Linked DNA regions of Notamacropus eugenii. The protein of the gene in region 1 interacts with the protein of each later gene in a pairwise test. Links are inferred from orthologs where the notes say so. Each region holds a gene or a part of one and is shown on either strand. Other genes may lie near its edges. The genes, in order: EGFR, EPS8, STIP1 and STAT2.

Evidence for each region.
Region 2: the proteins of EGFR (region 1) and EPS8 interact in binary tests that used the Homo sapiens proteins (3 or more experiments, as listed by UniProt). The link is inferred for Notamacropus eugenii from reciprocal best matches to the Homo sapiens genes EGFR and EPS8.
Region 3: the proteins of EGFR (region 1) and STIP1 interact in binary tests that used the Homo sapiens proteins (3 or more experiments, as listed by UniProt). The link is inferred for Notamacropus eugenii from reciprocal best matches to the Homo sapiens genes EGFR and STIP1.
Region 4: the proteins of EGFR (region 1) and STAT2 interact in a protein complementation assay, tested with the Homo sapiens proteins (3 studies listed by BioGRID and IntAct, with this or other methods). The link is inferred for Notamacropus eugenii from reciprocal best matches to the Homo sapiens genes EGFR and STAT2.

What each region holds. Positions count from the first base shown.
Region 1 is NC_092874.1:420,224,753-420,231,832, forward strand, and holds the start of EGFR (epidermal growth factor receptor), read left to right. Parts: upstream 1-4,066; 5' UTR 4,067-4,372; coding exon 4,373-4,460; intron 4,461-7,080. UniProt on the Homo sapiens protein: Receptor tyrosine kinase binding ligands of the EGF family and activating several signaling cascades to convert extracellular cues into appropriate cellular responses.
Region 2 is NC_092874.1:190,303,443-190,310,731, forward strand, and holds the start of EPS8 (epidermal growth factor receptor kinase substrate 8), read left to right. Parts: upstream 1-4,284; 5' UTR 4,285-4,745; exon of another isoform or gene 4,746-4,789; intron 4,790-7,289. UniProt on the Homo sapiens protein: Signaling adapter that controls various cellular protrusions by regulating actin cytoskeleton dynamics and architecture. Depending on its association with other signal transducers, can regulate different processes.
Region 3 is NC_092873.1:17,036,420-17,044,321, forward strand, and holds the start of STIP1 (stress-induced-phosphoprotein 1), read left to right. Parts: upstream 1-4,887; 5' UTR 4,888-5,005; coding exon 5,006-5,014; intron 5,015-7,902. UniProt on the Homo sapiens protein: Acts as a co-chaperone for HSP90AA1. Mediates the association of the molecular chaperones HSPA8/HSC70 and HSP90.
Region 4 is NC_092874.1:231,637,337-231,645,337, reverse strand, and holds the start of STAT2 (signal transducer and activator of transcription 2), read left to right. Parts: upstream 1-4,990; 5' UTR 4,991-5,086; intron 5,087-5,561; exon of another isoform or gene 5,562-5,634; intron 5,635-8,001. Other genes in the region: APOF (apolipoprotein F), read left to right, coding at 3,440-4,333. UniProt on the Homo sapiens protein: Signal transducer and activator of transcription that mediates signaling by type I interferons (IFN-alpha and IFN-beta).

The DNA.
Region 1 (7,080 bases):
TACTGGTTGGGTTGGATTCTATAACTTTGGCGAAAACTGTTTATTTTTTTCCTAGGCAAGATTCAACATAATTTTTTTTTACTCAACATTTCTGGGGAAGTATTTCGGAGTGTTGAGTAAGCCTTGAAAAGTTATGATCACATTGAACTGCTTCACCAACCTTAAGCTAATGCAGATGGCTATGGCAAGACCTGATTGTTCTTATGAGAATTATTTCATGCATGAAAGTGCGTCAGCACAATCACAAATTACATGTTCCTTTGTGATACCATCTTAATATACTACAGTGTCTTTAATACAAGGAGAGTGCAGTTCCCCACAAAGAAACAACACAAGACTGCAATGTGCATAATTGCAAACTCCCCAGCCCAGCATTTAAGGCCTTGTACATTCTACCTACCTTTCCCATCTTATCTCACCTTGTTAGCATTCACACACTTTGGGCTATCAGCAGTTTCCTGATCTAGACCATCCTGCACTCAGTGCATTGACTCAGGCATTTACTCACATCTAGAACACACCCCTTTCTCCTCATTCCTTCTCTTCCTTCTGGTTTCATCTTAGGTACCACCTTTGCCATAAAATCTTCCCTCATTCCCCTTCAGCTGATAGAGATTCCTCAACTTTGTCTATAATCCTTAGTATAAAGAGCTGGAATCTGAAAAGTCTGAAGCCAGATACCATGCTAAGGACAAGTCAAATCCCTTCTTTGGTTTTCTGATCCCTATCTTTAGAAAGTGAAGGAATTAAACAAAATCCTCTCTAAAGTTTCTTCCAGATCAAAGCAAACAACCCCAAGCCAGGTCTTAGTAAGCAAAGTGTGGGGAGGCTTGGTGCAAACTGAATATCTTGGGGAGAGATTGCTGAATTTGGGCATGGGTGTAGTCTGATAGTCACTACCCATGTAACCTCAGGCTAACCATATAACCTCTCCTGGCCTCAATTTCCTCATGTGTAAAATGAAGGATTTGGACTAGATGGCCTCAGACATCTTTTCTATGTTGTTATGATCCAATGAGCCTATAAAAAAATGGAAGCTCTAGGTAATTTCAACAAATTCACGTCAACATTTTTAAAGCTTCTGTGCTCAAAGCATTGATTGTATGTGCTATGGACACCAATATTCTTATATGCTACAGGGGGAATACAATGTGTGCATAAGAAAAAGAGAGGGTAATTTGATGGAAAGGGAAGGACCAGGAAGGACTTCAAAGGGCAGGTACCATTTAAGTTGAACCTCTTCTGCAATGAGAAGGCATTATAGGCATTGTACATGATTTGTTTGAATGTATGGGAATCAAAGAGAGAATATTAAGTTGGGCAATGACTAGTCATCCAATCTGGCCAGAATAGAGTAGGTGAAAGGAAATACGGTGAAATAAGGTTGAAAAGGTAGGTGAGAACTAGATTGAAGAAAATCTTAAATGCCATTTTTTAAGAGGCAGTAGGGAGTCAGAAAAGGTTTTTAAATAAGGGAATGGTCAGACCTCTACCTTAGGAAAAGGGAATGTGATCAAAAAAAGAAAAGAGAATGTGGTGTAAGGGAAGATGTAGGGGCTTTGGAGTCAAAGAACATGGTTCAAATGTCACAAATCTCTGTGACAATGAGTAAATTACTTAACCAGAGTTTCCGCACCTGTAAAATAAGGGAATTTGACTAGATTGTGTCTAAGGTTACTTCCAGCATTAATTCCCCTTTTTCCCCATTAATTCTTTTAATTATATTCACAGTTGTATGGAGGATGGTTTGGAGAGGAAAGAGATGGCAGGGAAAACAATTAGGAGGTTATTGCTATAGTCTGGGTGAGAAGTGTTGGTGGCCTAGAATAGAGTGGTGACCTTTTCAGTGAAGAAAGGATATGGATGTGGGAGGGAATCTGATTTTTTTTTAATACTACCATCTCAAAAATCAATTGTAATTAGACAGCTAAAGGCTGAGTTTATTCCTTTTATAATTAGTTTCATATTAACTTTATAGAAGCAATCTTTCTATTAAATAATCTTACTAGTAAATAATTGGTCAATTAGCCTTTAATCAAGTTTCCCCCACCCTACCCCAGGACGCTCTCTGCCATTCACCACAGTTTCTTTCTAAGGGTGAAATTTTAAAAAGGGGAAATAACTATCATTCATAGTTTCTGCACTACCATAGTCTACTTCCTGAGCTATGGGACTAATTCCAGGTTCTATGCACTTTACCATCATGGGAGCAACAAGATGATTAAGGTTGCTGAAAGCCAAACACAAACCTGTGTGGGGGGGGAGGAGGGGGGGAGCAATGGGGCATCAGTGGGCTTTGGGGGGAGGTTTACAAATGCCCAGGCCTTGGAGAACACAGAAATAAAAGGCACTGCTTTTTGCTACAATGAATACTTTTTGTTTTACTCCTTCTTTGTCTCCTAATTTTGAACTTGCAAAATCTGTTTTACTGGGATGTTAGTAGTTAATACACACTTGGGAACTATTTGTGAACTTTGAAAGATGGGGGAAGAGGTTAGAGGAAGCTTGGTAAAATCTTCACGATAAACTGAGGCAAAAGGGCTACATGACGTTAATTCTTTAGCAGATAATAAATCAGTGTATAAAAAGTAAAAGAGGGGAATCACTCTAGAACACTTTAATCTTCTTTCCATGGTGACATGCGGAAGGATTCCTATTTCCTTAACAAAATAATTTGTGATTTTCCACTTTTATACACATACATACATCCATACACAGATACATAATGAGAATATGGAGGAAGAACGTTACGTAAATAATTGACTAATGGTCACTGAAGAACAACGCACAGTCTCCTTATCTATCTTTTTTTGCTTAATGTTTTTTCACCCCTTGCTGTGATTTCCCAAAATCACCTCCTTAGCTTCAGACATTTTGTAACATTCAGTTACCAACTTTATAAAACTCCGGGTCTTCTTACTTCTGACTTGGAATTTAAAATCCGGCTATCCTTCCACTAATATTCGCCATTTGATTTCCACCTAAACATTAGACTTTTAAGCTCTGGGGTCGTCTGGCAAAGATTTCCCAGCCCGCATACCCTAAAAGGGAGAGGAGGGAAATGTGATGAGAAATATTAGGAACTGACCAAGTTTTGTTTGGTTTTGTTTTTTGAAAAGTTAATGGGTCTGGGGGAACGTTTGCCTCATGAAGTGAACCTCTCCCTCACCTCCACCCTCGAGGGTGAAGAAAGGCTATGGAAAAAAGAAAAGCAGCTCTGTCCTTTCTCTCCTTTGTGGGAGATGCCCACAGAGGCAGAGTACGTCGTTACCTGGCCAAACTTCCGAAAACTCTGAATCACACACTTAGGCAAGCTCTGAGTCCAGCCTTCTCTTGGGCGGACAGCGCTCACAGATTCTGGTTTTGCGCTGACCACCCTTCTGCCCTTCCGGCCCAGTTCACTGTCGCCCTGAAATCCTCCCACTGTCCCCTGCTTGGCTCTATCCCTCTCCACCGGGTGGTGGTGACCCTACTAAGAGGGGCAGCCTCCTCTCGGTCCCTGTGACGTAGCTCAGTTTGTTTGATGGGGATTCTCTAGGGAGAAACTCGCGAAGTTGGGGGAAAGTTTTTTTCTTTTGTTTTTTATGTTTTGTTTTTTCTGAGAACTGGGAAGGGAAAGGAAGGAGAGGAGAGAGTGCAAGAATCAGCTGTGGGTCGGAACCACTCTCAGCCTAGGTCAGGGTTGAGGAAACACCCTCAGCGCTTCTTTCTCCGCCTCTCCCCCACCTCTGTCCCAAAGGAGAAGGGAAAAAAACGGAGCCCACACTCACAAGTGTGTGCTCAAGGACTCGGAGTTGACAGCCTGTCTAGACCCCTACCCCACCTCCGGTGCCTAGCGCGGTAGGAGCTCCAGCTCGCGCACACGCACACACACATAGGCACACACACAGGCACACACGCGCACGCACACAGGCACACACACACACACACACACACACACACACACACACACACACACACACACACACACACACACACACACACACACACACACACACAGGCAGGCTAAGGGGCAGCGGCCGCACCGCCTCTTTCTCCTCCTCCCTCTCCTCCCCCCTCTCCACCTCCCCTCCGGGCGCTGCGGCGGCAGCAGTAGAAGCAGAGCGCCTTCCCGGCATGGTCTGCTAAGCCAGCCTTGTCGGGCAGCCCGAGTCCGGGGCAGAGAAGGCTCAAGGGAAGCTTTCCGACGCCAAAGGAGGAAAAGCAAGAAGCAAACGCCCCGGCCTCCTTGGGATTGATTCTGCACTTGGCAGAAATCTACCCTCAACGACATTCCGCCTTCCCTTGGCCCCCGGGCGGGGAAAAGGGGTTGTTGGCTCGTGAGATTACTTTGGGACCATCGAACTGGGACCGACGTCGATCCGGTGCGGCGATGGGGCTCTCTGGGGCTGCTGGAGCCGCTGTCCTGGTGCTGCTTGCCGGACACTTTTCCCTAGGCACGGCGCTGGAGGAAAAGAAAGGTAAAGGTGTCGCCTTGGCCTCCCGCCTCTCCGCGTCCCCTGCCTGGCCTTCGCCCTCACCTGGTCTCCCTGCCGCCAGCTTGCCTGTCCTCTTTCCACACCCCGCCCCAGCCTCAGCCCTTGCTAGCCGGCTGCCGGTCTCCCTCCGGCTCGCTAGTCCCAGTCGGCCGGCGCTCCCCTCCCCTCCCCCGTTTCCTGCGAGATCAGCTGTGAGCTCTGGCCAGCACCCCGGTGGGAGCTGAGCCTGGAGGGGCTGTCCTGACAATCCTGTCTGGCCCAGAGAGAAGGGGGTACTGAGGGATCTCTGGCCGGGGAACTGAGCTCCCGAATGGAAACCTGGTGTCCAGAGTCACTAGTTCCCGGGCGCGCCCTCAATCTGGCTGCGCGAGCTCCATCTGCGTTTGCACAGGAAACTTTCTCAGCCGGCTTTCGTCTCCTTGGCCCGCGCCGTAGACTAGCCGGGAAGGGGTGGGGGGCGGCTGGAGGCGGGGAGGCGGGGATCGAGGTAGTAGAGTTCTGGGGGTGAGGGCGCCTTGGCATTGGCCGCACTCTGGGGATGACACTGTGCAGCGGGGATAAAGGGACAGGGTCCCATGTGCCCCCCACCCCACCTCCACTCCCCCCTCACAGCCCTCATACTTCCCAGGACAGGTAAACAAGAGGGCATGAGATGCCAGGCTAGAGAGAAGTCCCACCGGTTAAGTGCTACTAAGGGTGTCTGTCACCTGTCCAGTCCTCTGGACCGGCTCCCTCGTTCACATTTCATTACTCTCTTTCTGTAGCCTGGATTGTCAGCAGTCCGGGGTGGGATCTGTGGGTGGTGGGAGTAGACGGAACCCTCCTCCAAACACACTAAACCAATAGGGAAAAGAGCCCTCAGCCCCATTCCCATTCTTTACTCTCAGGTTCTCCGCCTTCCGTCACCCTCATAACACTGCAGGATTTGGACTTGCTTCTTTTTAACTGTAGCTCTGTGCGTCTGTTTGTCTGTGTCTCCCTCCCTCCTCTCGCTCTCCCCCTCTCCCTCTCCCTCTCCCTCTCCTCCCTTTCCCACTCCAGTGACTGTCGGCCTGTGCTTGATCCTTCCCTGCTCTACAAGGTGCGCAGGTCTGTGTAGGATTCAACTGTGCAGCCGGGTCGCTCCCTACACTCACCTTTGGTTTCCTCCCTACTACCCTCCCTCTCTTACTTATTCCCCACTCCTGAGTCGCTTCACGTTCTTACATGCTTCTTAAAATACTTTGTTAAACTTCTAGGGGGCAATTCTGGAATCGTGGATGGTTTCTCTAGGGTTTCTTTGGAGAATGAGATATTAGATTATAGAATCCTCAAAACCATCTGATGACAGTAATCCCTTATAAAGATTCCAGTGCAAATCGTTTGGGGAGTAACTTTCCAAATGAACACTCCATACTCTTTCTCCTCTCGGGAATGGGGTGGGGAGTAGATAATCAAACCACACACCGGTTGAAAGAAACTGGTAAAGGTCCACCATTCTCTCTGAACCAAGCATGAGAGAATCTGATTTCGTGACTACTGTCAATAAGCTCCCTTGGAACAAGAAACATGCCTTAGAAGATTCTAATTGCACAATCTTAAAATTAAGGAACTCGTGTTCCAAGAGTCAGGTTCCGACCTGTTGTTGATGTCATTGGCACAGGGTGTTGGGGTGTGTGTGTGTGTGTGTGTGTGTGTGTGTGTGTGTGTGTGTCTGTGCTGGGGGTTTGTTGTGGGTTTGGTTTTTTTTTTTTTTGTGGGGGAGTTACATAAACTTCTTGACTATGTTTGCCCTTCTACGGATAAAGATGTTTTGAGACAGTTTATTTTATCAAACTTGCAAAATATAGGTGAGAGGGTGAATATTCTCGTCCTATACTGGGGAGTGAGTGGTCAGTGTTGAAAGATCAGAGCTGTTGTTTTTTCATTTAGTGAGTAGCCCTCAGATTTATCATCACAGATTTGGATATTTTGACAAATGTAAAATGTCTTCCCCACCCCCTCTTATTTTCAAAACTAATGCTATATTAATCCACTTTCCCTCACATTTAAGATTCATAGTTTCAGGAAAAAAATTCTTTTTTTCTCTCAGGTACAAGAATAATACCTTGTACCTTTCTAGGACCAATTGTAATTTTACTGTTCTTTTACTTGAAGGCATCATCTTTCTGATAAAATATTTTTCACAATACTTTAATGGTTGACTTTTGAATATCTATGTCTGAAAACTTTCTAGTATTCTATACTTTAAAATGCTTCAGCTGTTTCTGAGAAAATATAATTTGTTCTCTTTTTGTATCCATTTAAAGTAGAATGCCTTTTAATGTGGGGATAAAAAGAACCAAACTCTAAGAAAATGAATGTGCACATAGGATAGTAAAAGGGAATGGTTAATTTCTCAGTACAAATTCTTTAGGTTTGAGTGAGCCTATTTTAGAAAGAGTATTAGTTATGATCAGGTGCACTTAAATTCATCTATGCCTTTAATCAACAAAGTCTAATCAATGTCAATGAGAATATTTAAAAGAAATTTGTTTAGATCTTGAAAGCAGAAATATTTGTGCATTTAAAAGAATAATGACAGGTATGTGTGACTTCAACCTTTCGACCTTGCACAGATAAC
Region 2 (7,289 bases), about 230 Mb from region 1:
ATGCCAGGGCCAGCCTCTGCCCCTTCTCTACTCTTGGATTTGGTTCTGAACTTCATATCTAGGGTTTTTCTTGCTAATTTCTATTTTCTCTGGTGTGTTTGTGTGTAGTGATGGCAGGTTTCAGGACTGCCTAGATCACTGGCTTCAATAGTACTGTGGCGTTAAAGGTCATCTCGAAGGGCTCAAGTCAGAATTCTGTGAAATTCTAGTGCCCCTGAAACCTCCTGGTGCTACCAAATTCACAATTGGAGTGGCCAGAGCACTGCAAATTTCCATCCATCCTCAAGGTCCCTCATTTATATGCTCTGGTTGTCTTGCTTTGGAGTATGAGTAATGAGGATTTCAAGTGCTGCTGGAGCATCTTTGGTCCACAGTGACAGGCCTCTGGATTGTCAAGCTGTGCTGAGGCTAGCTTTTCTCATATCCCCTTTCCATTGCTCACAGGCTCTGCCTGTCTTTTTGTACTGATCTGGGCTGGATAAAGGATAAAATTGCTATAGTTTCTCTTCATATTTCTTGGTCATTTGGTCTGGTGGTTTTTTTAGATTTTTGCCATAGTACATGTGTGACTGTTGGATTCCTCTGAGACCATTCATACAACCCCCTTAAGTCTCTAGCAGCACATTTTAAGAGGGATTTTGGCACACTGGAGTACATTCAGAAAAGCATGAGCAGCATGAGTAAATGAAACATCTATTGAACTTTCACTAAGAGCAAAGGGCTGTGTGAAGAATAGAAATTCCCATACTAATGAAATCACAATTCCAGATTAAGGATTATAACTGTTCCATTCCACTCCATATGAGTCACAACTGTATCTGCGCATTAGTGGTCTTAACCTGGGGTACCCAAAGTTGTTTAAAAATTAATTTGGTGGTTATTCCTGCTCTCAAGGAGTTGACATTCTAATGGAGAAGCAACACATATGAAAGGTTTCAGCTGCAAATCAGATTGAAGGGTCTCATGGTGCTTAGGGTAATACTACTTTTTAAATGCTATTTCCACTGATAAAATCATGTCATTTACTGATGTTAGACCACTTGATAGTGTGAGGACTTTGGTGGCAAGAACATTCTTTTTTGAGTTTTCAATAATTATGCTTGTAGCAACTGCAGAAGCAGTTGCCAGGTTGCATCTCCACAAGGGCTGCTTCCCAGGATGACAGTTATGGGCACTGTGCTCTTCCCAAGGCTCTTGGGTTCAGGGTCTTGAACTGTCTTCCTCAGAGTCTGAGGGGAGATGATGATCAAGGTGGTAGTCATGGTTCTGCTTACCTGAAAATTGATACTTCCTGTCTTTCCCTCAAAATTGCCTCGCTGCTTCATCTAGGTGGGTTTTCCTGCGCTTTGTGTGTGGCTGGCTATTGATGAGCAGTTGGTAGAGATGGCTAACTCTTTCTACATAGGAGTTGCTTCCCTGGAAGATGGCTTCCAGGGCTGGGGTAGGACTACTTGTCTGGGGGTTGTTGCCACTCCCAGTGGAACAGCTGAAGGAAATAAGGATATTTAGGGTAGAGAAGACTTAAGGACATGAAAGCTAGCTTCAAATATATGCTGGGCAGTCTTGTAGTGGAGGGGTCAGATGAAGTGTGTGTACCTTCACAAGGCAGAACTTGAATCAATAGGTGCAAGTTATAAGGAGATCAGTTTTAAATCAGGAGAACAATTATAAAAGTAAAAACCTGAATATGTTACTTTACAAAGCAAGGTTCAGGTGGGCAGTGTTGGGGACTGTTGAAGCAGGTCCTTGGATGAGCATCTAGTAGGTATGTATTTGAGAAGATTCCTGCATAAACTGGAAGGCTGGATTTGATGAGTTCCAAAGTCTTTTCCTGATTGTAATTCATTCTTCCCTTGATTCTCATGCATTCTAATTCCAAAGATTTCATTTGTTTTCCTACAGATCTCTAGGATATGCCTGCTCTGAACTATGTTCAAGCACAATCACTCCCTGCCTGTGCTTATCACAGTGACTGGCACATGGCAGGCACTTAATGAATAATTAGTGAATTGACTTCCCAAAACTCAAGAACTTGGGACTTTCCTTCTTGCCTCTGTTTTCACTCTCATGTTTCTCAACTTCTCAAGAAGAGTCAAACAAATAAATGATTAGCAAGTTTTCTTCAGGAAGTTTGTCTTTATTGTTCTGGCCTTTCACTGATTTTCAGCAGGTTATAAATAGATCTAGACAAAAAGCCAATATGGACAGACACATAAGTACTAAGGTAATGGCTTAGAAAACAGAAAATAAAATGTGTATGAGACAATGAAAATACCTTTTAATAACTTCTTGATGGAAGTGGTGGTGGTGGTGGTGGTGTTCTGGTCACTGGAATAAAATGTTTGTGAAAGGAAGTAATGGAAAAATCACAGTCTCAGAATTGCAAGTTTTTTTTGGAGTTGGAAAAGACTTTTTTTGGTGGAGGGTTATCGAGTTAGTCAATAAGAAGCAATTGCTACTGTGCCAAGCATTGTGCTAAGTGCTAGGGATACAAGCAAAGGCAAAGGGCATTTCCTGCTCTGGAGGTGCCTCAGTCTAATGGGTGAGACAACATGAAAACTAGGTCAAAGCAAACCATGTATGGGATAATCTGCAGATAATAAAATTAAGAGAAATCAGGAAAGGCTTCTTGTAGAAGGTAGGATTTTAGCTGGGATTTGAAGGGACCCAGGGAAGCCAGGAAGCTTAGATGATGATGAGGGGGAGCATTCCAGGAATGGGGGACAGTCAGTGAAAATGTCCAAAGTTGGGAGAGGGAGCGTCTGGTTTGAACAGCAAGGAAACCTGTGTCATTAAGAGTATTAGAGAAATGGAAAGGTGAGGAGAGAGATAGCATGTTCAAAATCAAAGAAGATGTTGAACACCCAAAAGAGAATTTTATATTTGATCCTGGAGGTGATAGGGAGCCATTGGAGTTTACTGAGTTTGGGGAAATGATATGGTCAGATTTGTAATTTAGGAAGATCATATTGGTATATGAGTGAATAATAGGTTTTAGAGTGGGGAGAGACATGAGGCAGGGAGATCAACCAGCAGTCTACTGCAACAGTCCAGGTATGAGGTAGTGAGGGCTTGCTGTAGGGTGGCAGCAAGGTCCAAAGGTGGAAGATGGCTTATAGAACAGATGTTTAAAAAAAGGGTAAAACTGATAATCCATCCATGTCCTGAGAATTCATTTCCTTCTTCTAAAGAGAACAGGGTCTGATCAAGAGTTGTGAGAAACTCAAGATCGATTATGATTTGCTAATTTCAGCTGAAGTTTCCACTTCGGGGTACCTGGTGGGTTAGGGATATTGGGAATGGACTTTATTTTCAGGGAATCATGCTGGGAGGATCATGAACTCATAGGATTACAGATCTAGAGCTGTAAAGGACTTCGGAAGATATCTAGTCCAATTCCTTCATACTATAGATGAGGAAATCAAAGTCCAGGAACACTAAGTGATTTGCTTAAGGGCCATACAGGTAAGTAAGTAATCATCAGAGGTGGTTTTTGGACCTAGGTCCTCGGCTCCAGGGTTATTGCACCTTACTGCCTCCCTCTCTCCCTCATTCAATTAGTTTATGAGACCAGTCTTTGTAGCACTGGAAGATGTAGAGCTAGGAGGGATCTTAGAAGCCATCTCTTCCAACTCCGTCATTTACAGATGGGGAAACTGAGGACCCAAAAGGGTTAGTGATTTCTCAAAGTCATGCAGTAAATGTCAGAGGTTGAATCTGAAACCAGGTTCTCCTACTCAACTTCAATCCAGTGCTTTTTAGCGTGTCTTCAGTAGAAATAATACAGGGAAGTAGAAACACACCGGGAAGAAATAAAACAAGAGAAAAGGAGAGAAAGGGAAAAGCGAAAAGAAGAAAAGAGAAGGAAGGAGAGCCAAGGAGATGGAAAAGCAGGCAATCCATCAATTGCCTTTCACCGTCCTCATCAATGACAAAGAATGAGTATTTATTTCTGTATGAAAGATTTCCGCCCCCCCAACGGTTGTAAGGTTTACGGGGCACGTCACTACTCCCTCCTATCCCCCCTCCTCTCCGGGATGTGTAGATCCGTGCCCCGGGCGCCCCGGGTTGGACCACTCCTCCCACCCCCAGACCCCCAAATATTTGCCCCTTTTGGCATCTCTGTGTTATCTGCCTAGCAGCCTTAACGATCCCGCAGAAGGACACGGATCCGTTAGGAAGCAGTGATTTCAAACGGGGATAGATTCCTTGATAACTTTCGCGCTCCTCCCCCTCCCTCCCTCCTCCCTGCCTTTCTTCACGTTCAATGCCGCTGTCAGCCAGATGGTTCACCATTACCCAGGCTCCAGCCGCCTTCTTCTCCCAGCTGCAGGCAAAACCCGGACAAGTGGAGCGCAGCTCGCTGCGAGTGCCTAGGGTGGCGTTCGCGGCCGAACTGGGCATGCTCAGCACGCAGGGCTGGTCTAGCCGCGAGTAAGAAGCTTTGGGATTACTCTGGCAGCGGAGAGAGCGCGCAGCGGGTCTGGCTGGGGAGAGTTAGGTTCACGGGCAGGTCCCCTTCTCATCCCGCGTCTCTCAAGCGTCGGTGCGGGAGGCGGCTGGCTTCCCTGACCGGGGAGACTCGGGGGGCGCTGGCTCGGGTCGGGGAGTGGCGGGTCTTCTGCTAGCTCCCCTCGCACCCCAAGTCCTCGATCCTTGACCAAGGGGGAGAGCTGCTGAGCTCCAAGGAAAGCTTTTGTGCACCGCTCGCTGCTGGTTTGGAGCAAGGAAAACAGTCTACCAAGGTGAGAGAGCTCCTTGACCAAAACGTTTCCAACAAAGGGATCGGGTAGGTTTCGTAAATGCTTGCCTATTTAACTCTTTCCTTTTTCTTTTTCTGTGGTTTAACTGGACTGAAGGCAGTAGTAATCGGCTTTCCACTCTTGCGTCTTTCAACTGGTGTTTGGAGTAAGGTGCAGGGAGCAACTCCTGCCCTCTGGGCATATTTGAGGCTCCTTAGAGTCCTCTACCTTCTGGGGCTTGGACTTATTCTGCTTTCTCCTATTCTTATCTTCAGGTAGGCTTCATAGCTACAATTTTGCGAGAAGTTCACCTTTTTTCCCCCTGGGAAGATGGGGAAAGAGAAACACAAAATGTCCATATAGTGTTTCCTGGTAACTTGAGCTTGCTACTACCCGGAGTCTTATCTTGTCAGCTGGGCTTCCATAGACCTAGTGTTTGTCTCACATCTTATGCTCGTAGATTTCAGGTGTTCATAGCCTTCTTCTTTACCTCGTCACCCCCAAGAAAAGTACTGTTGGAGTTAATGATTCCTTTGAAAGCGTCTTTGGTGGGTGGGGGAAAGAGAGGGACAAGATGCCATTTGTAATTCTCTTTGCACATTAAAGCAGAACTGTTGAATTACAAAAAAAAGCTCGCAAGTTATTTTGGTTTTCTTTTCTTACGTTGTGTTACGATCTTTTATTGATTTTTTTTCAAATGATTGATTACTTTTGAGAAGACTGCCTTTCTTTCTTTCAATGGTCACTATATTTGAGTTTGATTTATTTCATATTTCCCTAAGCTTTCCACTTTCCTTTTGTTCCATAGCCTCCCAGCTCCCTTTACATTTCTTAATGCTTTGCAATTCTTTGAAAGAGCCTTGGTTCAAATCCCAGTTCTGCTCCTTACTATCTGTATCACCTTGGGTAAGTCGCTTAAATCTAAGCCTCTTATTTCTCATTTGTAATATGAGGGGATTGGAGGAGATACCCTTTCTAGCTCTAAATCTACAGTCTTAATGCTTCTGCAATTAGGACCATTGTAATTGATGCAAGTTGGTTGGACTAATCTCCATTTGGTCTGAAACAGGAGTGACATACAGTCAGATGAAAGTGACTAGTGAAAATCCATGAGTGCAGCCCGACTCCAAAAAAAAATTCTGCTTGCCACTGTGCCTACCCAACCTACTTACCATGAGATTGAGGCATTTATAAAAAGACCTGGTTCTTCCCCAGTATAAAACCCCAAAGTCCTCTTACATTAATAAGCTATACAGAACCAGTTGACTGTCTGAACTGAGCTGTTTATCTACCAAGGCATATGACTGCCATCCAGAACCAAACCAAAATGGGGGTTTGTGGGAATGGCAGTGAGGTAGAGAGCCTACATGTCTTTCATTTTGCTTGTATTTGTATTCTCAATGCCTGACACGTAATAAGTGCTTAATATATGCTTGTTGACCAGCTGATTTACTGATCTTTTTTATATGAGTGTGATACTGGTAGTATGCATTATCCAGTAAACCTTGCAGTGAACTTAAGGTGACTATGGTTGTATCTCTATTACTGGAATTCTCAAAATTAATGGTACTAATAGCTGATATTTCTTTGTGGCTTTAAAGTTTGTGCAATGTTTTACAAATATAATCTCATTTGAGATTCACAATGATCTTGTGAGGTAGATAGTAGGGTTATTATTATCCTCATTTTACAAATAAGGAAAATGAGGCTCAGAGACTTGAGATATCAAGATGGATAGAGCACCAGACCTAGAGGCAGGAAGACCTGAGTTCAGATTTGGCCATAGACATTAACTTTGTGACCCTGGACAGGTCACTATTTGCCTTAGTTTCCTCAACAGTAAAATAAGGACACTTGCACCACCTTCCAGGGTTTTTGTGAGGATCAAATGAGATTATATTTGTAAAGCATTAACACAGTACCTAGTGCTATGCTAGTAAGTGCTATTTAAATGTTGCCTATTATTTTTGTTGTGTTGTGTTTGGTTTAAAGCCATATCTTCTTGACTTCAATTTCAGGACTCCATGTACATTATTTCATAAAGCAGAGGATGCCGACATGATAAGTCCTATTAAGGATATATATTCTAAGTTGTTGTCTCAAACGGAAGCTAGGTAAAATTAACTACTGTTACCTGTAGAAATAAAAATCTTAGAGAAGTTGATCATTTAGAGTTGTATTTAGAAATGTTATTTTTCCCAGTCACTTAAATGAATGTATTGCTAGTTTTCTGGGCAAAGTTAATTGCTTGCACCAAAGTGTCAATTAAAAATGTGAAATAGCTAATGTCTTGGTCATATAGATTTTGAAACCTACATTGACATGCTCGAATGTTTGAGAGATCATTTGATTTTATTTTTGTTGTAATTAGGAGGTAGGGGATTTAGGATCTGGGGAAGGTTTCTTTGAAGTGAGATCACAGAGATTATATTTATTTTGCTATTAACTTAGTTTTTCTGTTGAAAAAAAAAACAACACAATTCTTTTGTACCTTCCTGGCTTGTGGAAATAGTATGTGCTAGTCATTCAGATTCAGTGAATTCAGTC
Region 3 (7,902 bases), on another chromosome or scaffold:
GGGGCTTCCAGAGCCCCTCCTCGGCTGTCTGGGGACTGACCCATCTTTTTTATGCTCATGCCTTTCTTGGATGATGTCTTATGTTACAATTGTACTGTCTCATAATGTGAGAGTGGCATAGGGCACCCTGACCTCACAGTGCCTGGGACTGGAGTGAACTCTAGGTATGGGGACATGAGTGACAAAGCAGAGGGACTGATGATCCAGGCAGATATTTTAAGGTTTGTCAGATGGCCGCTGACAGAAAGTAGTTTGGTTCATCAGAAATATCTGCACACCACACACACACTCTCACACATATACATACCCCTCTCTCTGTCTCTCTGTGTCTCGGTCTCTCTGTCTCTCGGTCTCTTTGTCTTTCTGTCTTTCTGTCTCTCTGTCTGTCTTTCTGTCTTTCTCTGTCTCTGTCTCTGTCTGTCTGTCTGTCTCTTTCTCTCTCTCTCTCTCTCTCTCTCTCCCCCCCCCTCCTTCCCTCTCTCTTCCTCCCCCCCATCCAGTCAGGACTACATCTCCCAGCATCCTGAGTCCCAGCCCTCCCCTCCGCCCTCCTCCCCCCTCCCCTCACGTCCTATCTCCAGTTTCCCAGGACGCCTGGGAATTCTCAAATTAGCCATTCACTCCCAGGCCCCACGTACTTGAACCGCCCCGTCACCTGTTGCTGGAATCCAAACTCAGCACTAGAAATAGCCCCCTGCCTGGCTGGCCCCCCAACCTGCCTCAGCTCTTTGCAGAAGTGACCAGCTCGGCCGCCCAGGGCATAGCCGGGTATGCCAGGGCCTGGAATCTGGTTGCCAGCCAGCCGTCTTCTGGCATGCTTCCTTCTAGCCCACAAAGAGTAAAAAGTGACTTATGTAACATGTTAGAGTTTGCAAAGCACAGGACCAAAGTTCACCCACTGAAGGAGATCTCAGAAATCAACCATCCTCAACCCAGCTTTTAACGGGGAAGGAAACTAAGACCCAGGGAGAGGACTGACCCAAGGTCACACAGGCCGACAAGTATCTTGTGACAGGCACTGGGCCAAGCCCTGGAGGAAAACAGCTTCGGACAAACAGGCTTAACGGGATGGGTAGGAGATAATTGGGAGCAGGGGAGAATATAGAATTGAGGGGGAGCAGGAGTCTTCTTGTAGAAGGTGGTGCTAGCTGGGGCTAGGATGGAGACCCAGGGGTCCCGACTCCCAAATCCTGCATTCTCTCCACTGGCCTCTGTGATTCTGTTGGTCCAGGAGCGTTTGAAGGCTACAGAGGACTTCACATAGGTGTTCAGGGTAGTTTAGCAGGAAAGGTAAGCTGGTGCTGTATTTATAGTCTCAAGATCTGAGTTCAAGTTCTGCCTTTTCCATTTACTGGGGGTGGGGCATGAGGCAAGTTCTTACCGTCTCTAAGCCTCAGTTTCCTCCTCTGTCTAATTAGTGGGATAGACTTAGACAACCTCTGAGAGCCTTCCAGCTTGAAATCATCTATTTCTCCTCACTTAAATCCAATTCACAGGCAAGTCAAGAAAGATGACATCATGATAATCAAGTTTAATAAAAGGGAAAGGATGTATTAAGGACCTACTATGTGCCAAGCACTGTTACTAAGTCCATTCCATTCAATAAACATTGATGGATCACCTACTGTGTGCCAGGCACAGTGCTAAGCCCTGGGAACACAAAAAGAAGATAAAGACCGTTCCTGCCTTCAATCTAATATATCCAAGGTGAACTACAGCCTGGACAATACAAAAGAATGAGGGAAGGCCCTGGAGCAAGCAGGGCTTGGAGCAGGCTTCCTGTGGAAGCTGGAGTTTTAGTCCTGCCTTAAGGAGTAGTGGGAGTGCACGAGGGGGGCATGTTCCAGGTCTGGGGGCAGCCAGAGAGGATGCTGGGACAGAGGGGTCAGCAGGGGCCAGGACAGGGAGGAGGGGCCCGGCTATGAAGGCTTTGAATGTTAGGCTGAGTGTGGACAGACATGATCTCAAATCACCAGTCTTTTGTCCCTCTCCTAGGCTGGCAGCACCAGGTAGAAAGGAGCCAGAGAGGGGGAGAGGAGCCCCCAGGCTGGGTCTGTGCCCATGAGGACCAGGGCAGGTGGCAGGAATCCTGGGAAATAGATGGCAGAGAACTGAAATGTAAGTAGAAATCTTTTCCCTCCGGGCCCGGTGGCAGCTCAGCTCCTGGAGGAAAAGAAAATTCAGGATGACTTTCTTTACCTTCCAGTCTGAGAGATGTGTCGAAAACTTCCTGGAAAGTATACAGCAGATGGCTCCGTCAGTCTGTCAAGCAACAGGCATTTATTAAACTCCTACTGTATGCAGAACACAGACACAGACTGCTGTATGAAGAATGGATTGGAGAGAGAGGAGAGACTGGAGGCAAGGAGGCCAGTTAGGAACCTACAGATGATGAGAGGAGTGAGTTGTAGCTGGGTCTGACTCTTCAGAGTAAGGGGGATCACAGAATGTCAGAGCAGGAAGTCATCTTGTCCAAGCTAGCTTTCCTACCTGATTAAATGGTACTTCCTTTCCCATGCAGTGTGGTCCGGCCAAACTAGCTTTCATACTGTTCTCTCACACAAGACTCTCCCACCTCAAGTGTTTGCCCTGGCTGTACCCCGTGCTTGGAATGTCATCCCTCCTCATCTCCACCTCTTAAAATCCCTTGCTTTCTTCAAAATTGTTCAAGGAACACCTTCCACATGAGACCCTTTCGGCTCCCTCCCCAACTGTTAGTGTCCTCCCCATCGCTGCCCCACCCCTTCTGATTAACCTTGTATGTACCTTTATTTTGGGTTGATTTATTTATGTACAAATGATCTCCCCCAGCAGAATGCAGACACAAGTGGTAGATACAGTATTCATATGAGTGCCAAGTCAGTGATGCCCACAACTGGGCTGTGAGGTCACCGTGTGGGGTCACAGTCCTTGTTTCCTGATGGGCATCATAGGACTGCCTTTGGGGGACCTGAGAGGGGCTTCCAGGAAAATTAGCACTAAAACTGTATTATATAGACTATATCAATGTATTCCATTTCCCTTACAGTATGTATTCCTGGGGTGTTTTATGATAGCTAGCATTTATAGAGTGCCTATTATGTGTTAGGCTTTACCATTATTCTGTATTTAATAAGAAGTGGTCAGTCTTTGGTTTAAGACAGACATCAAAATGACCCTTCTATTAATTATCCAATAGCCCTCATTAATAAAATGATTGTTAATTACCCAGAAAAAAATAATAAACAGTTGTTACTTTACTCATTGAAATTTCAGCCATGAAGGTATCTCCTGGTGTGGAATTGTCCTCCGCTCATGCAGGTTGGCTACTCTGTGTATAAATGTGTATTTACAATTCTATTCTATTAGCAATGTTATACATAATATGTAATCTTAGATGCACATAGTTCTTCTCTCTGTGTGGGGCCTGGGCCCTGGGCCCTGGCTGGTCAATATTTTGATCACTTTATTCCAACAGAGTTGGTCTCCTTTGCAATCCTATGTATTTGCTCTGATGCATTTGAAAACCTGATTCTGAGAAAGGCCCCCCACGTTGTCCCAGGGGTTCAGGACACGCAAGAGCCTGGGTCAGAATCAGCTATGAGGACCTATCCTCTCTCTGATATGTTGTGATCTCTCTTACATAAGGAATGGCATTCAGGTCATGACTGCCAGGTTATCTGGTGGCTGTGGCATTCCCACTCGGGTCCCGGGGCAGAGTGTGAGGCCCTGGAAAGAGAGTCTAACCCTCAGGCAGATCCAGCCACTTCTCCTGGCCTGTTTCCTCATCTGTAAAATGAGGGGGATGGGTTTGCTCCCATCCTCACCAAGACACAGGTGCCAGTGCCCCCTCTGTCCCCAGCTCACACTGAGGCAGGGCTTATGGATCCCATTCCCACTCAGCGATCCTGGGGCAGGTGCTGCCATAGACCCCGTTTCACAGATGGGAAACTGAGGCTCAGATTGACTGGTTTGCCCCAAAGTGACAGAGTTGCTCCTAATAGGAAAGAAATAAGCATTTATTAAGCGCCTACTGTGTGCCAAGGACCAGTGCTTAACTGTGCCCTTTACAACTGTCATGCATGCGAGTAGGCGCTTTTATGATCCCTGTTTTCTAGCTGGGGGCAACTGAGGCAGTGGGAGGTGAATGGCCTTGCTAAGTGCTTTCCCCGGCACCCCACCTCCGGTGCAGAGCTCTAAGCGCCCCCCACACCCCGCCCCCACACGGCAGCCCATTTCACAGAGGCCGACCCTGCCCCCTGGGACCCCTGGCACCCCTGGCACCCCTGGCACCCCTGGCCCTGCCCGGACTCCTTCCGTGAGCCTGCGCAGTTTGAGAGGGCAGAGTGTATCGGGGAGACGCTCGGGGTTATACCCGAGGGCGCCCCCCCGGGTTGCGAGAAACGAGCACCTCCAGCCTGGCCGGAGCCTAGGCACTCCCCACGAGTTAAGGGAGCGGGGGAAGGGCCAAGGCCGTGGCAACAGTCTGCTCGAATGGCAGCAGGAGCGACCTATCAGAGCCAGGCGCTTGGAGACCCTGCGCCCAATAGAATCGCTCCTTATCGCTGGCTCTGACGTCACTGTGCCCGTCAGTCCAATGGGAAAGGTGGAAATTTCCAGAAGGAACTGGACCAATGGGTGCGACCAGCGCCAGCCAGACCGGCGCTCTCGCCAACCAATGAGTATAGCAGACGAACGCCTCTCTGCCAGTCGTCAAGCAGGCTCTGGGGCGGGCCGTGCCAAGGAACGCCCAATGGCGAGGAAGAAAAGACTAAGGGTGGAGCGAATCGCCGTCCGCCGTCCAATGAAAGGAAGGTGCCCATGAATGGCGGAGAAGTCAGCCTCTCGGAGCGCTAGGGGGCGGGGCTCGGAAGGAAAACTCCACCAATGGGGCGGCTACGAAGGGGCGGGAGCCGGGAGTCCCGGCAGCTTCTAGTAGGTTCCAGAAGGCGGCGCGTGCGGCTGGGAGCTGGGCGCGAGCGGGCTGGCGGACGGATTCGCGGCTGCCTCGGCTCCGGCCCGGGCCATGGAGCAGGTGAGCGGCGGCCGGCGGGCGAGCAAGGGAGGAGGGCGAGCCGGGGAGAGGTGGGGGGGCGGTGAGGCCCGGGGCCGCCGCTGAGGTAACTGAGCCGGGGCTGGGGAAGCGACCGGGGCCCAGGGAGGGGCGGGCGGGCCCGGCCGGGCCAGGGTCAGAGGGCGGTTATTGGGGTGCCCAGGGCAGATTGAATCTGAGGGGAGGCGACGGGACCCAGGACTGGCGGGGGAAAGTACTGGAAGGGGGGAAAGAATGGGGGGGCGAGAGGGGGAGGAGCAAGGCCTGGGATGGGGGGGCTGTGGAGGTGGGGGGAGGGGAAGGGTCTGGAGGAAAGGCGAGCCTGTTTCAGGGGGAAAGGAGAAGGGCTCTTGGGCCCATCCGGGGTAGAGAGACCTCCAAGGTTTGGGGGTTAGCCCGAGGAGCCGAGCTAAGAGACAGGAAGTAAGGGGGGGGGGGGCAGAGGCAGGACTCCCAGCGGGGGGTCCAGGTCCGAGGAGGGCAGGCCCTCGTGGGGCTCCAGGGATGGGGGGAGGGAGTCAGCCCGGCCTTCCGTGAAATCCATGGGGGGTAAATGCAGGAGAAACTGGGAACTGATTGAAGTAAAGGGGGGGCAAAGTGAAGTCAATGGGGGCGCCCCGAGGCAGGCTCTCTGTGCCTCTGGGGCGTCCTAGTGAAGGTGCCTGGGCCTCAGGTGGGGGCTCTTTGGGCTCAAAGGCTTTGAGGAAAGGGGCCCTGGAGCAGACTAGGGGACACCCCCCCCTTTTAGCTGGACACAGCAGAGCTGATGCTCGGGTTGGGACCCTTCTCCAAACGCAGGCTGCCTCCCCAAGTTTTTGGGTTCCTCGGAGGTGCAGTGATGGGATGTAAGAGGCCGGGTCAGTACCAGAGGCCCTGGGTGGCAGACCAGGCTTGTGGGAGTGAAGGGAGAGGTGTCTCTGTTGTGGTAGGACGACAGGACTTGGCTTTCTGGCTCACTCTCGGGGGCCTGGAGGACAGGAAGGAAACTTGGAGGGTCCCATCTGGGGTAGAGTGGTCTGTGGGCAAGCTAGCCTTGAGTGCTTAGGTCTCTAACATTTAGATACCATCTAGGGTTCCTCCCTTACACTCGTTTCACAGATAAGCAAGCTGAGGTTGAGAAAGGGATTGGTTCGGTACCCCACATGGGTGGGGACTAGAATCCAGGCCTTCCTGCTGTCTACCCTCTGTCTCTACATCCCAGGTCTGAGAATAACCTCATCCTCGCTGCCGGATGGGTTTGTGTGTTGTCTCATTCACTTTATGGTTAGGAAAGTCCATGAGTTGTAAGAAACGTTTGAACACCACAAGCTGGAACGTTGGGGAGGGGGGCGGACTCAAATCTTGAGAGGCCAGTCTTTTAAGTTAAATTTGTAGCACAAGTCAGGTCAGACTTTTCCACTTGAGCTCCCCTTTGTAATCGCATTGGGGAATCACCCACACTCAGTGTGCTCTTTTTATTTCTTGACTGGCCCAAGCTTACCTGCTGAGTGGGATTTCTCGCTCCTTCCTCCATCAGACTTCAGAATCCCCAAGTTAGAAAGGCCTTTTCAGTCCCACCTGTGCCTGAACTGCAACTCTCTCCATACCTGCCACAAAAACCAGGAGTTACATTGGGAAGGCAGCCATTGCAATGTTCTTGTTGTAGTGTTCTTACTAAGGATGGTTGCATTTGAGCTTTATATTGGCTTTTCATTTTAAAGGATGTACAAATGGGGGAGAGAGGGCACTTTTCAGATTAGGGATAGCTGTTTCCCTGTTTGAGGTTCTGCCCCTCACACCCATGTGTGAGAAGCTGCCAGCCTTTCCTCAAAGGCCCTTGTCTGCTGGTTTGAGAGACATCCTGAAGTGGTACCACAGACCCTCTCTCATGCATGGTCCTCCTACATTTACTTCAACTGGAGGTTAAAAAAAATGAGTCATAGATTTGGCTGAATTAAACTGAGCAGGGGGCAGGCTTTATTTCAATCTCCCAAAGTGATCTTAGGGTGCCAACCCTCCCCTTTTTCCCCCTATTCCTTCGCCATTTGAGAGAAAAGTGTTTGCCTGTCCTATGGATGGATGACTCATGACCACTTCAACGAGGGGAGGGTTCTTCTTAGCCTCAGGAACATGGTCTAACCATGCCAAAGAAATGGCATCTCTTCACTCTGGAAGTAGGAAGTCTTTCCCAGTTTTCCAGAAATCCGACTGAGACACCATAACAGAACAACATGTTCACATGCTCTCTTTGCTAACCAGTTCCAGCCCCAAGGGAATCAAGAGAGTCTCTGTTGGACTTTTGGGAAACGTGACAAATCCAAACTGCCCTTTTTTCCCAGGTTAATCCCTAGGTCAGTCCCACAGTTTTCCTTTTGAGCTTATCTCTGTGCCTGCACATTTTAGATCTCTTGATTCAGTGAGGAGTGGGAAAATTTGAAAAGAAATTAAGCTATTCCAGCCTGCGAGGGAGCCTCTATTTACTGTTGTTACCCAATGAATTTCAAGGTCCAATTCCATCTTTCTGTGTTTTGGCATAGAAAGAAGCAGTTAATTTTAGATTGTGGTCAAGTGGAGTCATAGAAAGTGTTTTGGACCTGGAATTCAGAGAGACCTGGATTTGAATCCAGCCTCTGATTTAGCTCTGTGGCTAGATGAGCCATTTAATCCTCGAGTTTCCATTTCCCCATCGGAAAAATGGGATTCATGCCTGTGGTACTTGACAGGGTCATCCTGAGGTTTCAGAGAGGTGTGTATATGTTCAATCCTGCAAACACTGAGAACTGTTTGTCTGAGCTCATCAGGGAAGGGGGACCTCCATCAGAGCAGCAGATTTCTACCTGGAAGGCCAGCCTTCTCCATGGAAAAGCTCCAGCCATGCAGTGGCCTTGTAT
Region 4 (8,001 bases), about 190 Mb from region 1:
TCTCCAGCAGATCTGCACCTAACACCATCATGGCCCAAATTCAGCTTACCATACCAAGTGATTATCACCACAAGGAAAGCCAGTATAGAGACTGACCTCCCCTCCTTTCTCTTACTTTCTAAGAATATGTTGACCACACTTGTTTTTTTTTTTAAATTTATTTTAAACTTAAATACAGAACTTAAAGAAGAAATATATTACAAACTTAAATATTGAAATTTAAATACAAAATCAGAAAAGAAAAAAAAGCACTGCCATGCGCACAGCAGAATGTAAAAGAGGTTTCAAAATACAGTAGTATATTTCCATTTTAAGAAAGCCTATATATGAAATACTAAACATTGTGTTGAGAGCTGTCCATCTTTGCTTCCTTGTAAGTTTTCTTTTGTTCTCTTCTATGCACTTTTTACTTTGTTCTTTTTCCCCCTTACTCGACACCTCCACCCCTAACCACACAGTCCCAGAAGGATACAGTTAAGGTCAGACACACATACACACACATGTACATATACATGCACATGCATACCTACATATGTAGACATATACACACAAAATATATATACATATATATACCCTTGCACACATATACTTAATGCATACATATACTTAGATATCTATAATCATACTCATAGATATACACATTTCTCTATCTCTGAGGGTGGATAAACTCTTCCTTCACAAGTTCAAGTCTTTCCATTTCTCATTTGTGAGGAAAATCTGGAGAGCCTGGAACTTTCTGACCTACTCAGCCATCCTCCCAGAATCAACCCCCCTTGACCACACTTTCTGGCCAACCCCAATTCTTCTAGGATCTCTTACATGAATTTCCTAACTTGGACCCTGGTTCACACCCAAAGCGGCATGCGATGTGGCTGGGGAAGAGATTGTTTGCCCAATTGAATGCCTTTTATTGTGGCTTGGCTTCTATAGAACAAGAAGAAAAGAAACCAATGAGACCTTCGTTCTTGGATTACAAGGTGTTGGCAAGACTTAAGATCCTACTGTCTCTGTAGCTCTTGGGCAAATTTCAGTTGAGCTGGGGATTCATCATTGCTCACTTGTCCCTCCAGAGAGACTATACCCATGAACCTGAGGGGTGATCTATCAAATTTCACAACAAGCATGTGAGTTTGTCCTGGTTCTGTTCCCATAGACCCCAAGTCCCATTTCCAGGCTTTTGTCCTCCATGCTATTCAGAGTTTTCATCTGAGGCTTGAAGTGTCATGCAGTATCAGCTAAAACTTCCTGAATTAAAGGCTATCATAATGTGCCGAGTTGATCAAAAAGTCCTGGCCAAACATTTCCTAATACCCTCTACCCCAAGACTTGCAGCTTCTCGGTGAAGAGCACAGTCTGCTTGTTTTCTTGGATAAAATTCAGGCTATATAGAATAACTAGTCCTTTGGGGGTGAGGGGACAGAAACTCTAAATAGTTTGCAAATGCTTCACATGAAGACTAGTAACCCAATCTTCCTAAAGTTTTGATGAGCAATTAAAGCTTACATTAAACAGGAATAGAAAGACATGTTATTTCTCTCTTTATGTCCAGTAAAACCTAGTTTAGTGGTTGTAATAGGTGCTTAATAAGTGTAGATTTTTTTAATTGACTAACTAGAATTAAAGGGTCCAAGAGGCTGTAGAGAGGGGAAAGAAACACCCCAGTTTCACTGAAACTTAAGATAGATACAAGCTGTTGATTAAAGGACCCATACCTGACCAGTTCTATCTTGGTCTCTCTCCCTTTAGCTTCCAGACCCTCTTTGCACACATATACTTAATGCATACATATACTTAGATGTCTATAATCATACTCATATAGACATACACATTCACATGCATTATGTAAGACCGTGCTATATTTATTTGACCTCTTTCTCTGAGGGTGGATAAACTCTTCCTTCACAAGTCCAAGTCTTTCCATTTCTCATTTGTGGGGGAAATCTGGAGAGTTTGGAACTTTCTGACCTACTCAGTCATCTTCCCAGAATCATCGCCCCTTGACCACACTTTCTTTGTCTCTTCCGAATTTCAACCACCTAGACCCTCTGCTCTATTCCCTCATTAAGCAAATATTGAGCATGTACTTTGTATTTACCCTTTACTAATATCCTCTAGTGCTTCATAATTTCATGGAGGAGACTCTAGGTCAGGGGTGGGGAACCTGATGTGTCAAGGCCACATGTGACCCTCTAGGTCCTCAAGTGCAGCCAAAACTTTGACTGAATCCAATTAAATAAGGACTTAGATCCTTAAAGGTTATGTGAATTCGATGCAAACTAACAGATCTACTGCATGAGAAAAATTGCAAATATGTCACCAGTAACTGTCTTGACTGAAGACAATTTCCCAGACTGAAGACTGGGAAAGTTTGGAGAATCTCAGACTACTCTTTTATCTTCCACAATGTCCATTCCCTAGACTTCTCTGAACCTGAGCAGGAACCTGGTGGCATGGGTGACAGGCAAATAGCAAGGAAAAGAAACTGCCCAGTTAATTGCCTTTTTCCTAATGAAGATGAAAGCATAATAATAGTAGCTTACCTTATATAGCACTTTGTACATATTCCTTTTGATTCGCAGTGGAAATAACAACAATAACCCCTATTATTATTGCAGCTGCCATGTGCCAGGCATGGTGCTAAGGACTTTACAAATATCCCATTTGAAAATGTTATCTCACTTATCTTCACAACTGAGAGGTAGGTCATATCATTACCTCTATTTTCCAGTTGAGGAAAACAGAGGTTAAATGTCTTGCCCAAAGTCACACAGTCTGAAGCTGGATTTGAACTGTGGTCTCCCCAAGTCCAGATTCAAGGCTGTACCCACTGCATCGTCTAGCTATTGTCCCTGCTACATTGATGAACAAACAGGTTCATGGAAGTTAAATGAATTAAGTGTCATAGAACTTAGTAAGGAATAAGACTTGGACTCAAACCCTCTAACTTTATATGGTTTTCTGTTCACTTTCCTACATCACAAGAAAACAAGGGATGATCTGTTGCAAGATGGACAAATATTTACAGTGATCACATCTCTTGCCAATCTTTGGGATCGAATAGGAGGAGGAGGGGCGAGTGGAGAAGTCCACAACTGGAAAGTTACAAGGCAGTGAGACCTACAAAGGAGAGGCTGTGTGGCTCTTAAACAGGTGGGTATACTTCTTGTTTTTGTTCGATGAGAAATGATTCTCTAGCTTTCCACAAAGACAAAGATGAAGAGACCAGAATTGGCAGGGGAGGATAAAGAGCACAAATTCTTGCATAATCAGTCCAAAAATTCCCACCTTGTCTGTTGGTACCAAGTTATTGAGGTGGAGGTTGTAATAGGGATAGAATTGTTCCCTGACTGGGATCTGAATCCTTTCAGACTTCAACCAGAATAGCTTTGTGTCTCCTTTATATTCCTCTCTAGCAAGGCTGTATCCACTACCCTCCAAAATGCCTGTGATGGTCCTTCTATGCAGCCTCCTGCTATACCCAGTAGCTGCCCTCCCAGATGGATCCCATCCCAAGGCCCTACCCCTCCCAACTTCGTCCCTGGAGTCCCAACCAACCACTCTCAGCCCCCTTTCCTGTTGGAACCTGATGCCTGAGTCTCTTCCCGATTTCAACCGCCTAGACCCTCTGCCTAAGTATCTGATTAGCCTGGCCTTCTACATAACCCTGGAGAGAGCAGGATGCCCAGCGGATGCCCACGACCTTCGGCAGCGACTCCATAGACTGGGCGGGGTGAAAGCCACAGAGACTCTCATCCAACAGCTCCAAGGCCTTCCAAGGACCAGAAGAGAAAGGAGATCGGACTGGGTCCTGTTCTCTGCTCTGCAGCTCCTGGGCCGGAGAAGTGAGAGGTCCAGAAGGGCGCCTCGTTCCCTCTCGACCGCGGACTGTGTCTATGAGAAGGAGCGAGGAGTGCACAATGTGATGCGGTACCTGCCCCAAGTGGGGACTTACTACAACCTTGGGACAGCTTTCTATTATGCTGCCCAGAACTGCACTGCTCAGGCCTGGGAGCGAGGACAGGAAGCGGCGCTGGACCTGGGCTACGATCTCCTTGTTGGACTCATGGGGGCAACAGGGGGGCCTGGGGGGGTGATGGCCGGTTTGGCACTTAAGCCGGCGGTCAAAGCTGGGGTTCAGAAACTGATCGAATATTATTACGGTAATAAGGAGGAGTCAGGAAGCCCAGCCCAGGGCACAGAGCAAAGGTGGCAGGACTGGAGAGCCAGCACAGAATTGGGCCCTGGGGTGTCTCCGGCTATGGGCAGCAGCGATCGCACGGCTGATGAGGTGACAGGGGACAGCTCCCTGTGGAACTGGGGGAGGGGGGCATGAAAGAAGGAGTCGGAGAGGGACGTCTGTATCAGTATGTGCGAGTGCTTAATAAAGGCTTGATTGTTCTCCGCATCTGTGTCTGCGCTTAATAAAAGATGGCTGGAATTTTAATTTGGAATTTAATCTCTAGGTCATGTAGGAAACTGAGGGAAGCCAGGTCAGTGGCACTCGAAGAAAACGGTGAGGCTTAGGTTTGAACTCGTGAGCCTAAATCCTCTTCACTTCTGCCAGGGTCTCTCTTTACCTGCTGCGCCGCCTCGGGGCCGGCTCTCGAGCTGCTCCCCAGGTTGACTGACAGCCTTTAGTTTCATCTCTAGCTTGAGCTCTTCTCTTTTCCCCTGTAGCTCCGCCTCAATTCCAGGAAACCATCAGCCTCCCGGGCTCAATCTTTGACTTTTCATTGGGCTATTCTTCCAGCGGGACTCCCTCCCGCCGCGGAAAGAAGGCGGAGTTTGGCTGGACCTTCAGTCCAATCACTGCGGGCGGAAGGCGGGGCTTTTCCTTCATGCCCCACCCTTTGACGAGGGGCGGGGCTTGTCGTTCTGAGGAAGCCTTCGAAGAGCCAGAAGAGGCTGGTGGAGAGCGCGGAGTGACGCGCTGGAGCTGCCGAAGGGAGGGGTGTCCAGACCCGGAATAGCTAGGCGGAGGGAGGAGCCTGAGAGTGAGGGGGTGGGGCTTCCAGTGTTTAGGGTCGAGCAGGCAGGCGAGTGCTGGGTCCCTGAGCCGCGAGACTGGGGGAGCGACACCAGCCAGGTAAGGAGGCCGCGAGCCCCCTTGGGAGGGCGAAGCATGGGCTCCGGGCAAGCGATCGTAGGTTCTGAGGAGAGGGTGGGCCTCCAGGAGACCTTGGAGTCTGACACCCGCCATTAGCCGCGGCCCCTGAACTTGGATGCACGGCCCGCCCCCCCTCCCCTCGACTCCCTACTGTGCAGCCCCCGGCCCCTGATCCCCATCCCCTGCCCCTTCATGTATCACCCTCCTCAGCCCTTCCTTTTCCTCTGTGATATTCCAGTCTTGGCTCTCTATTCTCTTTCTTCCCTAGAACTCATTAGATGGTGGCGGAGGGTGCTTTTAAAAAATACAGTATATAATTTGTGAAAATAACATTTTAAGGGGGGGAGTGGGAGGGGCGGGGGCGGGAGTTGTATCTCTTCTCCTCCCCTCCCCCCCACGCCGTATTTGAGGCTTTTAACACCAGATCATTTTTTCTCTTTACTGATGCATGAAGTCTCAGGGGAAGAGAGATTGGCAAACGTCAATCCCCAGCACCTTTCACTACCCCACAGTATTTCTGACAACAGGTAGCCCAGGAGGGGGGCGGGGCCAGGGGAGGGGGCGGGGCCAGGGGAGGGGCGGGGCCAGGGGCGGGGGGGCGGGGAGGAGAGGGAGGCTTTGACAAGTTTCACCAATTTGGGCACCTAGCCCGGGAATGTACTGTCAACTTTCTTCCAATATCTGAGTTGGATTCCTCTCTTTTCAGTTCTAGGATTTAACCTCTAAAATCAGGGTCATTTCGTATTTCCTGATCAGCTTGTGTCCCCTTTCCCACTAAAATTTTTAACTCCCTTACAACTTTTCATGACCCAAAAGGAAATTAGTCTGTAGAGTCCATTTACTATATGGGGGGGAAATATATACATTTATATATGTAAATCTAACATAAATATATAATACAAATAGATCTATATACATATATGTGCGCATATATGTATATGTGCATTTGGATAGGTATTTAGCTTCAAATATAGCTACACAGTTCATATCTATATACATGTATACATGTGTAATTTGTGTTCATTAATGTGCATAATGCACACATGCATATGCATGCAGTGTGTTTATGCATGTATGTGTATTTTGTGTGTTTACATATAAATACATATATTCGTGGGCAGCTGGGTAGAAAGATAGACTTAAAACTCATAAGATATGAGTATTTCTGGGCTCCCAGTCTTCAACCAGGTATTCCCACTGCCCCTTTCTGATCCTTTGGGTAAATCTGTTCCTGTGTTCTGCTTCCTCTTTGTGTTAACATCACATTAGTTTCCTTCCCCTACCAACTGAAACTCCTCTTATGACCAAAATTAAAAACACTTCAGCATAGCCAGTCAACGCAGAAACTGTACAGTATTCTAGCACCGTAGTACCCCACCTCTTCAATAAAGGGATAGGGCTCGATTTTCTCAGTTCTTTTCATAGGGCAAGCTTGGTCATTATAATTACATAGCATTCAGTTTTTTAAATTGTCCTTTTATTTTTTAATCATTACATATATTGTCTTCATGGTTCCGTGTGAGGCAAAGATTGTTTTCCCCAAGCATCTTATCCTAGCTGCATTGATTTCATTTATGCAAAAGCTTTTCAATTTCAAGTAATCAAAATCATCTGATTCCCCTTTTGTGATTGTCTCTTTAACTTGTTTAAAAATTTCTTCTCTAGTCATAGTTTTGTTTTGACAATTTTTAAAGTATTTTTTTCAAGTATGCATTTGTAATTCATTGTGGTATATAGATGCCAGGCAGCTATGTGGTACAGTGGATGAAGTGCTGGGCCTGAGGTGAGGAAGACCTGAATTCAAATATGAAGTCAAATACTAGCTGGGTGGCCCTAACCAAGTCACTTAAACTGTCTAATCCTCAATCTTAATCTGTGAAATAGGGATAATAATAGAACCTACCTTGCAGGTTTGTTGTGAGGTTAAAATTGTAATATTCTTTGCAATCTTAAAGCACTCTGTAAATACTAGCTACTAGGTTGTTGTTGACGATGATCTAAACCTAAATTTCTGACAAACCATTTACCAGTTTTCTCAGTGTTTTTGTCAGAGTTCTTTTCCAAGAATTTTGTTCTCAATTCAATAAACACCAAGTTACTGAGTTTGATAGTCTCTGATTCTTGCTTCACAAGTCTTTTCCACTGATTTACTTTGCTACATTTTAACCAACACCCAATAATTTTGTTAATTGCTATTTTTTAATACACTTTGAAGTCTGGAAGTGCCATCCTAACTTTAATCTCCTTTTTTTGTTATCTCCTTGAAATTCCAGACGTTTGCTCCTCCAAATGAACTTGGTTATTATTTTGCTAGCTCTTTAAAATATATTCTTGGTAGTTTGGTATAGGACAATAAATTTAGGTAGCAGTATTTTTTATGATATTGATCTACACCAACCATGGAAAAATAAGTAGCCCTCCAATGATTTTAGTTTTTCTTTAAAAAAAAATTGATATCTTTTACGCTTGCATAACTGTTATCTTTCTTACCCCTAACAAAAGGAGGCCATTGCTTGTGACAAAGAAAAATGAAAACGTGAGAAAAAAGTGTAGTTCCCCCAAACTAACCAATACAGCAAGCGGAATTTGACAGTATGTACAATGTTCCACATGCATAGTCCCCTCCCATCTCTGCAAAGGAGGGAGAAGCACTTTTTCATCTATAAAATGACAAAGTTGAGCCAGATTATGATACTGTATCTCCTTTAAAGTCAGACTTGGTCCTTATAATTGACCAGTGTTCAGTTCTGGTTTTCTCTTTCTTTTTGTTGACATTGCCTTCTTGTGCATCTACGATTTATTTAATGTTAATTTTTTCTTATTACACAGTAATTTTCCATTATACTAATTTACCACAATTTGCTTAACTAATCTGCAATTAAAGAGCATCTACT